Coturnix japonica: one gene and its partner. Each later gene encodes a partner of the first gene's protein in a complex. Links are inferred from orthologs where the notes say so. Each region holds a gene or a part of one and is shown on either strand. Other genes may lie near its edges.

Evidence for each region. Proteins that work in one complex are often made in the same cells at the same time.
Region 2: LSM5 (region 1) and LSM6 share a complex: the UniProt entries of both Homo sapiens proteins name them as parts of the precatalytic spliceosome. The link is inferred for Coturnix japonica from reciprocal best matches to the Homo sapiens genes LSM5 and LSM6.

Annotation. Positions count from the first base shown.
Region 1 is NC_029517.1:78,883,543-78,889,501, reverse strand, and holds LSM5 (U6 snRNA-associated Sm-like protein LSm5), read right to left. Parts: upstream 3,795-5,959; 5' UTR 3,705-3,794; coding exon 3,659-3,704; intron 3,372-3,658; coding exon 3,276-3,371; intron 2,840-3,275; coding exon 2,812-2,839; intron 2,450-2,811; coding exon 2,377-2,449; intron 830-2,376; coding exon 797-829; 3' UTR 558-796; downstream 1-557. Other genes in the region: late secretory pathway protein AVL9 homolog, read left to right, coding at 4,508-4,600. UniProt on the Homo sapiens protein: Plays a role in pre-mRNA splicing as component of the U4/U6-U5 tri-snRNP complex that is involved in spliceosome assembly, and as component of the precatalytic spliceosome (spliceosome B complex).
Region 2 is NC_029519.1:27,572,090-27,577,735, reverse strand, and holds the start of LSM6 (U6 snRNA-associated Sm-like protein LSm6), read right to left. Parts: upstream 3,902-5,646; 5' UTR 3,713-3,901; coding exon 3,541-3,712; intron 1,306-3,540; coding exon 1,192-1,305; intron 1-1,191. UniProt on the Homo sapiens protein: Plays a role in pre-mRNA splicing as component of the U4/U6-U5 tri-snRNP complex that is involved in spliceosome assembly, and as component of the precatalytic spliceosome (spliceosome B complex).

The DNA of each region.
Region 1 (5,959 bases):
ACCCAGCTAACAGAAGACAGCTCTTTTGTCAGATATAGCAAAGCAGAAGGACCTGTACACACAGCACCACTTAGTGGTAAAGAAGAAATAATCACTGACATGAATTTAAAAGTTTTACCAGCCTTCTACTGCAAAATATGGACTAAGGTCTGGTCTGTCTGCTCAGACCAGATGTGTAAAATAATATTAGCATCCTTACTGTAGGAAAGTGTGTATACCAAGCAAAAGGTGGTCAAGAGGGCTGAAACTCACACGGAATAACCAAAAGGCTGCTGAGCAAGAAACAGATGCATTCACTTGGCAAGCATTTCCAGACTCTTCCACATGGTTTCTGGTGCCACAGGATGAAACAGAGTTTAAACAAAGGATCCAGCCTTGTGTCATTTGTATTCCAATTAAGAAATATGCTTGCATTTCATATAGGATTGGGCCATAAATGAATGCAATAAACTGAAAACCAGAAAGCTGACAGTAACTGAAACATGGTTTTAAACTGGTTGATGGTATAGAAAAACAGCTTTTGCAAACTCATGCACTTACATAACCAAATACAACACTTAACAAAACAAAAGCCTTTATTCTGAGCAAATCAGTATGTCTTTACAAAAAAGTCATGATTTCAACTTACAAAGTCAGCATTAGCAATGCACCTTTCCTGAAAAGGAAATCTTTGCTTTTCATCAAATGTCAACTGCAAGTGTGTAAATAAACAAACAACAACAAAAATCCACCCAGACCCCCAAGGCTCTATTTAGATGACATATAACATGTCTTCATAGATGACATCTGTATCAATTTATACTTCAGGTCCTTCTCCTCCAGGAACCAGCTGCAAAAGAATAAGATAATTTTGTGTTAGCAACATGGATTTGAGTTATTCAAATTCATAAATGACACTTCTTCCTTTAAAACACTTTAGCAGATAGAGACTTCAAAGCAGAAGTTGATCTGGTGGCATATTGCTCTTAAATCAGGAGCTAGTGGTCCTTAAAGTACGCATATTTAGCAAAACCCAGCCATGCTTCTGACTGGAGATCCTGCGCCTTTTTTAAGGGCACATGTTACAACTGTGCCATAAAATTACTGAATCTGACTCAAAAGCACCCTGGGTCTTTCTCTTTTGGAAGTGTGCTGTTCATTATTAAGAAAATATAAATGATTTTTATCTTTTTTCCCCTTTACCTTTGTTTACCTTTTTAATATTTCCTTTTATATTTACTCTTAAGTCTTTTATTCACAGGAAAATACTTTGCTGGCTTGTTTCCTACTGTCTATAGAAAGGTTTGGTCTTACATGTATACATATAGCGGCTTTGCTTATCACTAAAAGTCAGGAAGAGCAAAAAAGCTTCTCAGCATAACAATGGTCTGGAGAAGAATCAGTTGAAGAAATGCTTCTTGAAATGCTCTTAAAAACAAACTGTAGAATTTCAAGATTCACCTTGGAATGAGTAACAAGGACAAAAAAATGTATGTTCTTTAGGAACTCCTTTGTTAAAATAATATAAATAATAATAATATAAAATAATTATTTTACCCACACAAGAAGTCAGAACATGCACAATGCATTAAAGATGCAGAACAATAACCGAAGCAAGAAAAGGTTTTGAAATTAAGTCAAAATAGCTTTTACTCAGAAGGGTGAGATAGCAATATGGGGATTATTCCCCATTCACACAGAACAGATAGACTCAAGTCAGCCTTCCACTTGTCTTGTTAACAAAATCATGAACTGCCTTATGCAGGAAGTCCAGATTTTGCACCCATCTGTGCAGGAAAGCAAATGATGTACTGTGAGTCTGCTTTTGTGGTAAAGTATCTACAAAGATGCAGAATTCACTTAGTGATGCTCAACTAACTACAGTATTGTTTCAGTACTGATCTATACACATCAGCGAGTAACAACCAGAAAGTGCTTCTGATTTGTTATAGTCCAACAAAACTCCACCTTATTATTTTTTTCCAGAGCATCCGGCATCACATGATAATGATTAATAATAGTCAAGTAACTTAACAAGCTTATAAGTATCTGAGCTGCTGCAAACACACCTATACATAATGGATGAACTGCAGATGTATCCCAACCCACAGACTTACACAGACACTCATGAGTCAAAAGCCACTTTGTCAACCAAACTCGTCCAAAGATTCCCTCACACACCTTATGAAAACCAAAAAAGCATATACCAAAACTATAGTCATGCCCATGCTCCTCTTTTCATGCATTTTAAACCATAAAATATATGAAATATAGCAATAAGATCACTTTCCCAGCATCATTCATAAACCATATGCCTTAGAAACTACTCAAGTAGTTGAATTCAATCAGATTTACAGGTAAAGAAACACAAGCAGACTATTTACAGTGATGACTTACCATTGTTATATTATTTCCATTTAGCAAAATCTGGTCTAGTTTTGTGATTCTTCTGCCTTCAGGTGTGATCTCACTGAAGCAATATTAGAAAAAAAAATATGAGCATGCAATCATCAACAATGAATAAAGTTCTGATTACAGCACCAATGCAAGTCCACATATTAAGATGACATTTACTGGAAATAACACTGCAACATCATCTTGATGCACTGACCCACTAGGCAGGGAAAGCTACCTGGCAACTAAACAGATTTGCTGTATTTTTTTGTTCAGCATATAAAGACACAGATTTGCCCTCTAAAACTTGGCATTTTTTTCAATAACAATTCAAAACTGCTCAGTTTATAAGTATCTGTGATAGCACAGACCTTATACCGCATTCTTTCTCAGGAAACCCAAGTCTGAATAGCAATGAGAGACAAAAATAATACTTACAATTCTGTAACATCTTCTAACACCATATCTGAAAGCTCAGTTTCAAGGAAAATAAGGCCCAGATTTCTTTTCATAGAACTTGAAGGGACTGTAAAGCCCACCCAGTTCCAAATACAGAGCAACCCCTGCTGCTGGTAGGCTGCACCCACTAGATCAGATTGCCATGGGGCCCATTCAGCCTGGCCTTGTACACCTCCAGCAACAGAAGCATTTGATCATCTTCACAGCCCACCTCTGCAGCTGCTCCAACAGCTCTGCATCCTTCCTGTGCTGGGGGCCTCACAAGGGCAGTATAGAGATGGGCAATTTATTTTACACCAAACTGTGATTTTAGCGATAAAAAAACAAACAAAAACCACTAACGAGCAAAAAACCGATACCAAACAGCTTAATGTTCTTAACAATAAACGAAATGATTTTCCCCATGAAGCTAATGGCCACAGATAACACCCACCAAAGGATACTGACAAAGTCATCAAATCCTAGCAGAGTTCCAACAATTTCCTTATCGCTCTTCATCACGATATGAATGCGAGAACCTATACATTTGTCCACAAGCTCTGTAGATGTTAAAAACAACAAAAGTGCATTAGTGTATTTGCAGGAAATCAATCAGCCCAGAGGTACCCTCCATCATCTCCGACCGACTGGAAACAACAGCAACGCTACACCCGGAGCACGTATTCCCTCAACACGAAGAGGGGTGAATTAATTTTGTTACATCCCGATTTAGTTTCTCGCTCATAGATCCCGATTTAGCCCCTGTTGCAGCCTCTCCCACCCCGGTCACAGCCTCCCTCCCTCCCCGCCCGAGCCCACGCGAGAACCCGCCGGCAGCGCTGCCCACCGAGCGGCAGGAGCTGCGAGGGGTTGGTGCTCGCGTTGGCCGCCATATTGCCGCCAGAGCTGGCCAATGGCTGCCGCCTCCTGAGGAAGTAGAGGCTGTGGCGGGCGGGACGCAGCCCTGAGTAGCGGCAGGCAGAGCGCTCGTTCTACCGCCGTGTTCTCCTTTGGGCTCCGACCGCAATGGGAATTCAGTTCCGCTCCTGTTTATACACACTGCCATGTCAGGTGGCAGCCTGTCTGACTGCCCTTCTGCTGCCATCGGTCACAAGGCAACAAAGTATAATGGAATATAACGGCAGGAAGGTGTAGCCCCTACTGCCATACCAACATCCACCTCTGATGTCATGGGCCAGCATAATAAAACAGGAGGCGTTAGTTTGAGAGCAGCTCTGGTATATATGGCTGAGTTTTTATTGGTATCTATTAGATATACACTGAGAAAGAAAATTCCAGCAGGATTCTTTTATTTCTAAGAGCTTCTGCTTGATTGCAGCTCTACCCTTCCTTCTTATCATTCGCTTGCTAGTTCTGGATTGTTCCTTATAGCCTATCTTTTGCCCCCTAATGTATCTAATTTTAATAAAACCAAGCACTTTCCTATATCAGTTTCATCGCACGCTCCCGCTCGGCGCCCACCGCACAGAGCACAGAGTGGAGGGCGGGGCGGGCCGGGACACAGCGCGGCTGGGGGCAGGGCGAAGGGGAAGAGGGCGGCCCCGCTCCGCCTCCCCTCGCCGGGCTCTGCGGAAGCGCAGTCGGTTGGGGTCCGTCCCTTCGGCCTTCGGCACCAGGAGGCGGAGCGACAGCCCGGCCTGGGCGGTATCCTCCGGAGCGGCCATCGCCGGGCTCCATGGAGAAGCGGGGCGCGCCGCCGGCCGCCCCTCCGCGGGGCCCGGTGTTGCATATCGTGGTAGTGGGCTTCCACCATAAGAAGGGCTGTCAGGTGAGGGGTGTGAGCGCTGGGCCCCGGGAGCGTGCCTCTGGTTCTGGGCTGGGCGCTGCCTGCAGCGGGCTGGGGGCCGGTTACGAGCCCCTTGCTGCGATCCCCCGCCGGTGCGGGCTGTGGGGGGCCCGGGGTCGGGCTGGAGCGGTTCCGCGGGGCTGTCTGGAGGGGACGGGGCCACCCAACAGCTGTGCGTTACCGGCGCTCAGTGTGTCTTCAAGGCCCGCTGTGTTTCGTAGGTATTCTGTGCTCTCGTTGCGTTTCCTCCTTTGCTCTCTAACTAAATCTTGGCGAGGCTGTTGCAGGAATGATTTATTTATTTATTTATTTGAGACTGAGTATATAAAATGCCATTTGATCCAATCAAACGACTGGTATTCAAACTCTTTTCTTCAAGTCTTACATCAAGAATTACATCTGGCATTTAAACTCCTGCAGTCATTCCACGTTCTGTGACTGGGCAGTATCTAGAAACCTGAGGAAACTGTGTTTTCTACTTTGGAAGGCCGTGCTGTGGTCAGGAAAGCAAATAGTTTTCAGATGATGAATAACTTCTCATCACATGATTGCTGGATTGTTTTTAAACGTTGTGAAGCTCCAGGGTAATTTTGAATGCTTGGTCTTTCCATCCCTAAAGTGAAAGAAGGAATCAGATTTTGTTCCCCAGCTCGTCTCCAAACATCGCTGTTTTATTATCACAGTAGATAGCTTTAATGTTGGGCTCAACCTGCAGTGAGTCTGCAGGACTAGCAGGAATTTGTCCTGATGTGAACATCACATTTGTATAAGGTACCAAAGAGTTAATATTTATTAGTACTTCAGGAAATTAAACAAGCTCAGGATGTTAATGTGTAAAACAAATTGCCATACAACAGAGGCTAAAGCTTTGGAGTGGTCATTCATCATATGTGTTCTTAAATCCATTTTTCCAAGAGATCTGCATGATTTTATAATGCATCCTTCTCAAGGCATCCTGCATCTGTTTGTGGGATCAGTTTCTTGATGTAATTAGATCACCTTGGGTTGCAAGGCTTGCAATATTTAGCAGGTTGCTTTCTTGCCAAATACTGCTAAGAGATGAATGACCATTGAGTGTCCTAGGAAGAACACCTATAAAGGTGCCCTCGCTCTTGTTGGCCACTTAGAAAAAAACATAGGTTGGAGACAAAAGTGGTTGTGGCTTTCATTATATCTGAGTTTATACTAGTTGTAATATGATGCAGGTTGGATGCAATAGCAAGCCAAAAAAAAAACTCCTGGAGCCCTGAGAACAAGACTAGTTAATGTGTTCTGCCTCTGCCTAAACAGATTTGATACTGAAATACATCGAATGTATCCTAAAAGAACTGGAGACAGGGA
Region 2 (5,646 bases), on another chromosome or scaffold:
GAACAGCTATGAGAGTTTCAGTAAGTAATGTGCAAAGCCTGTTTATTTAATACTTACTACTTCTGTGGCTTTTAAAAATGAGTGTAATTAATCCCGTTCAGCATGAGCAAAGTCAAGAACTTTCAAGTCCAGGCTCCAAGAAATGCTATCAGATTTATGTACTAACTTGACTCAGTATTAAATTCACAGTCAAATGGTACGCTCCAGGTGATGCAGACTGCACGGAGGGAGAATAAGCCTAGCTACCCTGCAGCATTAACAAGGAGAGCATGATAGAATCTTTTAAGCAGCAGAATTAAGGGTGTTGGACAGCCACGTTATGATCTTTCAACAAAAGATGGAAATCCCAAGCACTTCCTGCAATGCTAACAAGCACCTATGAACCAGCAGACATCTTTCACCTACTTGGCTGCTGCTGCCAGAACATCATGTAATGCGGTGCTTCCCATGCACTTTGTAGGAACACCTTTGCCTTGGAGTGGAACTGTGCAGGCTGTATTTTGAATGCCCAAGTGATGAAATCACATCACGCTCCTAAACAGGGAATGTCTTAAGTTCTTTAGCCTATACTTTATTTTCCTGCCTCTCATCCATTTGTTTTTAACTTTCCTAACAAATTCTTATTCCTAGAATTGATTGTCTGGCTGCAATGTAACCTTACTGTAACAAGCTAAACTCCTTATAAAAAAACAATAATTTGACCTCATTCAAGGACTGTTTCTTTCCTAAACAAAACAACACACATAACGTGGGGTTCAGATCTTGTTTCTTTCTGTTCCCTCTTTCCTAGTAACTTTGTCAGACTCTGCTTCATTTACCTTCTCTCCAAGTCTCCTCACATCTGACCTGTGAACCTTTTCCATGCTTAGATATTCTTCTCCCTAGCATGTCCCACTACTATAGCCTAACTAGCTGATAGCACAGCATCAGCCCATGGTTTAAAGCAAGTTTCTCTTGTGTTGGGGAAGGATGCTAATTGTCCTTAAAGTGTACTACAATCCACCTACTGCACCGGGATGTTCCAAGGCTCAATAATGAAGTGCAAGTAATTTTTCTTAACCTCTAGTAGAATCTTTAATAATAAACAGCCCCCTTTACTAATGAACAGAACTCATCCAGGTCTGAGGAAAAGCACAGGCACTGAAAAGAAGCGCTGTAAAAAGTACATACAGCACAAGAAGGAGGAGTTACCATTATTTCCTCGGATAAATGCATCCCCATACTTGTTCTTTAACTGTCCATTTACGTATTCTTCTGTCTGTTCCAGAGCTATATTCATATAGCCATCCAGGCAAGCCAGGACACCTAAAGAGAGTGATAGTTTAAAAGTGAATCAACTTTAGCTTATTTCTGAACTAAACAAAACGGCTTTGCATTTGAACAGTACAAGGAAAAAAATTGTATCTTCATAGCAAACTAAACTTCCAAATGTGGTCAGGTGAGTCAGTCAGCAGCCCAGAGAGCATTAAAGGAACTAAACTGAGAGTAGGGAACTCCAGGTCCTGTACATGACTGGGTGGGGAGAACTCACTGAGACGTGACTTTGAAAGAGAACATCTTCCATTCTGAAAGTTTAGTTGTTGCTTTTTACTTTTGTTTTATGCCCAACTCCTGAGAAGAACCTGTGACATAAAGTGTAACTGGGCAGCCTAAGAACAAGGCTACAAGCTGAGTTTTGACCAAAGCTCATCAAGGATATATGTGAGAAATAACCCTTCTAATACAGGACACCACGCACATTTTTCTGATTTATTTTCCAGAAACTGGAGCACAGGAAGTTCTGCACGGATGTGCACAAGAATTTGTTTACGGTGAGGGTGACAGAGCACTGGAACAGGCTGCCCACGGAGCTTGTGGAGTCTCCTTCTCTGGAGATATTCAAGACCCGCCTGGACGCCTACCTGTGTGACGTGGTGTAGGGAGCCTGCTTTGGCAGGGGGTTGGACTCGATGATCTCTACAGGTCCCTTCCAACCCCTACAATTCTGTGATTCTGTGATTTTCATTCTTATAGACAGAATAACATGGGCTGCCAGCGTGATTTCTGTGTAAATCAATTCTACATCTTCAACGGGGAAAGGGTTTTCATATGACACTGAAATCTTCAGCCAAATTTAAGTGATGTACAAACAGAACATTTACATAGTGAACTAAATGTGGGGATTAACGGATGTGAAGAACTGCTCAGAAAATGCAATACGTACACAATGCAATTTGCTAATTGCATACATAAAACAACTTCTAACAAGCTGCTCATCTCCATCTTGTTTGTGTGTGTTTCCTGACTTCCTCCTTGCACACAGACACCACTATTAAAAATACAACTACCAAAATGGACAAGAATCTAATTTACCTGCTATTAAAACTGAAGACATGCAGTACATTGGCTGTATTTGAGGAGGGGGAGAACTCCAGTCTGAGAATCTTCCTCCAGGGTATGTTCTCATTTTCCAGAAGCGTTACTGTAATATCCTCCATTAAATAATTAGGAATTCAAGTTTTCTTGCCAACTTGTAATGGCTTGAGGATTGGTATTTTCCTGTATGTGTTTTTCATCCCTGTTTCCACATAAATGGGGAAATTCTGTCTGGCCACAAAGTGTTTTAAATACACCAAAACCTTCCAAGCCAAGTCAGTGACAACATTTTCACACCAGTAATCCTGAGTGCTTCAAGATGCCACAGAAAACAAATGTTTGCCCCAAGCTGAAGTTGGGCTGTGGGGTTTTTTTTTAAGCTATCACTCAACTGGCCAGGGTGCATCTTCATTTCTTTCATTGTTGTCTTTCTTTTCTTTGTATTTACTCCCAGAATACTAATAGCATCACATACTGTTGCTGCCCACCCTGGCTCATATTTTGCCTGTTTTTTATCAGTATGCAGCAATGTTTTTACATTCATATCCATCTGTACAACTGATTACACGTGCACTTTGCCAGGACTTCTTAGATGAGTACAGCGCTTGGCAGTGAACCAAGACATTTTACAGCTGCACACCAACGTGAGAACCAGGCAGCTGCTGTGCTCACAGTGGCTGGGAGGGTGGAGGTGCAAACATAAAATGAGAAGGGTAGCCTACAGGCAGAATCTGAAGAGATCTGCAACAAAAGCCTGAGATGCTGGGTTTCCTGATGTTTGGTTTATACAAGTGATCGAATTTCTGTAGAGAAATGAAGTGTGCATTTCTCAAATGTAAGCACCAGGAGGGAGTTAGGGAGAATGGAGGGAAACAAAGAAAGGAAAATAACTCCTGTATGACATTGGGCTGGTGTCCAAACACCAAGATTCCTTGTCAAAGGACAAACGAGCACTAAGATGAGCCAACTGAATTAAACCTACCTGAAGTAGCGATGTCTGGCATGATCATAACGTTTAAATCATCCCAGAATAAAACACCTGTCTCCTCATGGGAGAGGCATGATAAGAGCATCCAAACTTAACGAAGACTGAGATAAAGAAATAATTGTAGAGGCTGAGCTATTGGAGAGGCTCAGCCTAAAGGGAGCAGGACATCTCACTGCACAGACAAGGTGGAATCTTACCTCGATAATCGACTCCAGAATTTAACTTTACAACAACAGGCCTTCCAATGATCTGCTTTAGGAAGTCACTGGGAGTTTGCTTCCGTAGGCTCATCTTGATTTGTGTCGGTACGCTGGGAATAGATGTGAAAGCCGATATATGGATAAGCAGCACATCCCACCCTGCAGGCATTGAAGGCCAGGCTGGATGGGGATGCGAACAACCCGGTTTAGAGGGAGGCGTCCCTGCCTACAGCAGGGGGCTGGAAGTGGATGGGCTTAAAGGTCCCTCCGCACCGCTCCCCGCACCGAGGCACAGCCCGGCCCGCACCCCGCCGCCCGGTGCCCCATTGCGGCCGGGCCGAGACACAACGCCGCTCACACTCACCCGCTGCTACGCGCGCCCGGCCCCGCGTTCGCGGCCAATCAGCGGCGGGCGGTACGGCGCGGCGGCAGGGACACGGCGGGACGGGCGCGCTCGCTAAAGCGGGGCGGGTTGTGGCTGCACTGAGTAGCGCCGCCTCTATCGCTGCAGGGAGGAGCTGGATGGGATCACCTGCTGCCAAAGGACGGGGAGCAGCTTTCTGCTTCTGCACCCAGCTGTGGCCTGACCTCTGCAAAACCTCATCTGTGTCCGTTTTAAACTTATCTTTATAGTTTCTGTCTATTTTTATCGTTTCTGTCTATGGATACTTGGTTCATTGATGCCAGTCAACAAAATCCTTCTAATTTCCTTTTTAGTCCTAAATTTACAAACATATGTATTCCGAAAGACTGAAATAGAGATGGACAACGTTGTATCCTTAGCTCGCCACTTCTATGGCTTGAGGCTGAGCCATGAACCCACACCTTAGCAAATTTGTCCTGGTTTTCTGTATAAGCCTTGAAACAGTCTTCCATGCTGTACTGAGTAAATGAACCTCTGTGCAATAGGACACATTGCTGAGCATGTTGGTGTAGTGGGTTTTGCATTGGGAAAGAAAATTTCTCTCTTGCTTATTCACAAAGATTATATAATGTAATCACAACTGTAAATACACAACCTAAAGAATGTGTTGTTTCCTGAGTCACACAATCCCAGTGCTCAGGTAGGTGGTTTTCAAAGGAATTATGTAATCCATTCTGTAGACTCCTCGCAGATTTCAAAGCTTCGAGTGTGAAAAAATGAGACCCACTGTTTAATGGTTCTTCTTTTTGCTTCAGTCATCTAGATGAAAAAGGATTTGGGTCTAAAACTTTGCATGCGTTGCTATCAGTACATTCTTTAAAATATGGCATTGCTTTATCGTTCCACAAAGCAGAGAGCATTTTTCCAGCTGTATAAAACTCATTGAAATCAGTGACATTCTGCCCGTGTGTTTTAATCAAGATGAACTTGAAAGGTGAACATTGTAAGTGGTAGAAATTATTTATAATTTGGTAATAAAAGTTTATGTCTAACACTTCCAAACTTCATACATCTGCTATGTGCCAGCCTTGAGATATAGAACAATTGTGATTGCCTTTACATTTGGCCTCAGATGAAAGGTCATAAATTACAATGGGAGTTTTCAGTCCTTCGCAGCTCACAAAGTTTCCATTATAGCTTCTTCACCTCAAACATAAATGGTGACAAAGTTCTAACATGAAGAGTTGCTGTGGCCTTTACCAGCTGAACTTAATGATGGAAGCTGGGGGCTCGTCTACTATTGCTAAGTCTTGAATGTGAAGCACCTCAGAATGTTTGTTCAGAGAACCTCATTAAAATTTGCAGTTAACTTTAAAAAAACGAAATGGGATTTGACAGTGTATGAGAAATTGGTAATCACAGCCTGAACCTCTGATTAATCAGCTGAGGCAAGTGTCGGGTCAGCTGTGGGAGCACAGGTGAGAGTAATTTAGCTGTGCTCCTGGGAGGGGTGGAGCTCGACTCCACCTCCTCTAGACCTCATTTAAGGGCTGACCCCCACTGAGGCAGCATCTCTTGGAGATTGCTTTCTGGTGGAGATTGCCTCAGCTTTTCCCAGCTGAGGCATCGATATCGGTGAGTTTTCCTTTACAAATAACCTTTTGAATTATCTTTGCTACCATCTTCATATTATTCAACTTTACAGACAGTCTGTCTGTCTTTCTCTTCTCCTCCCAGCC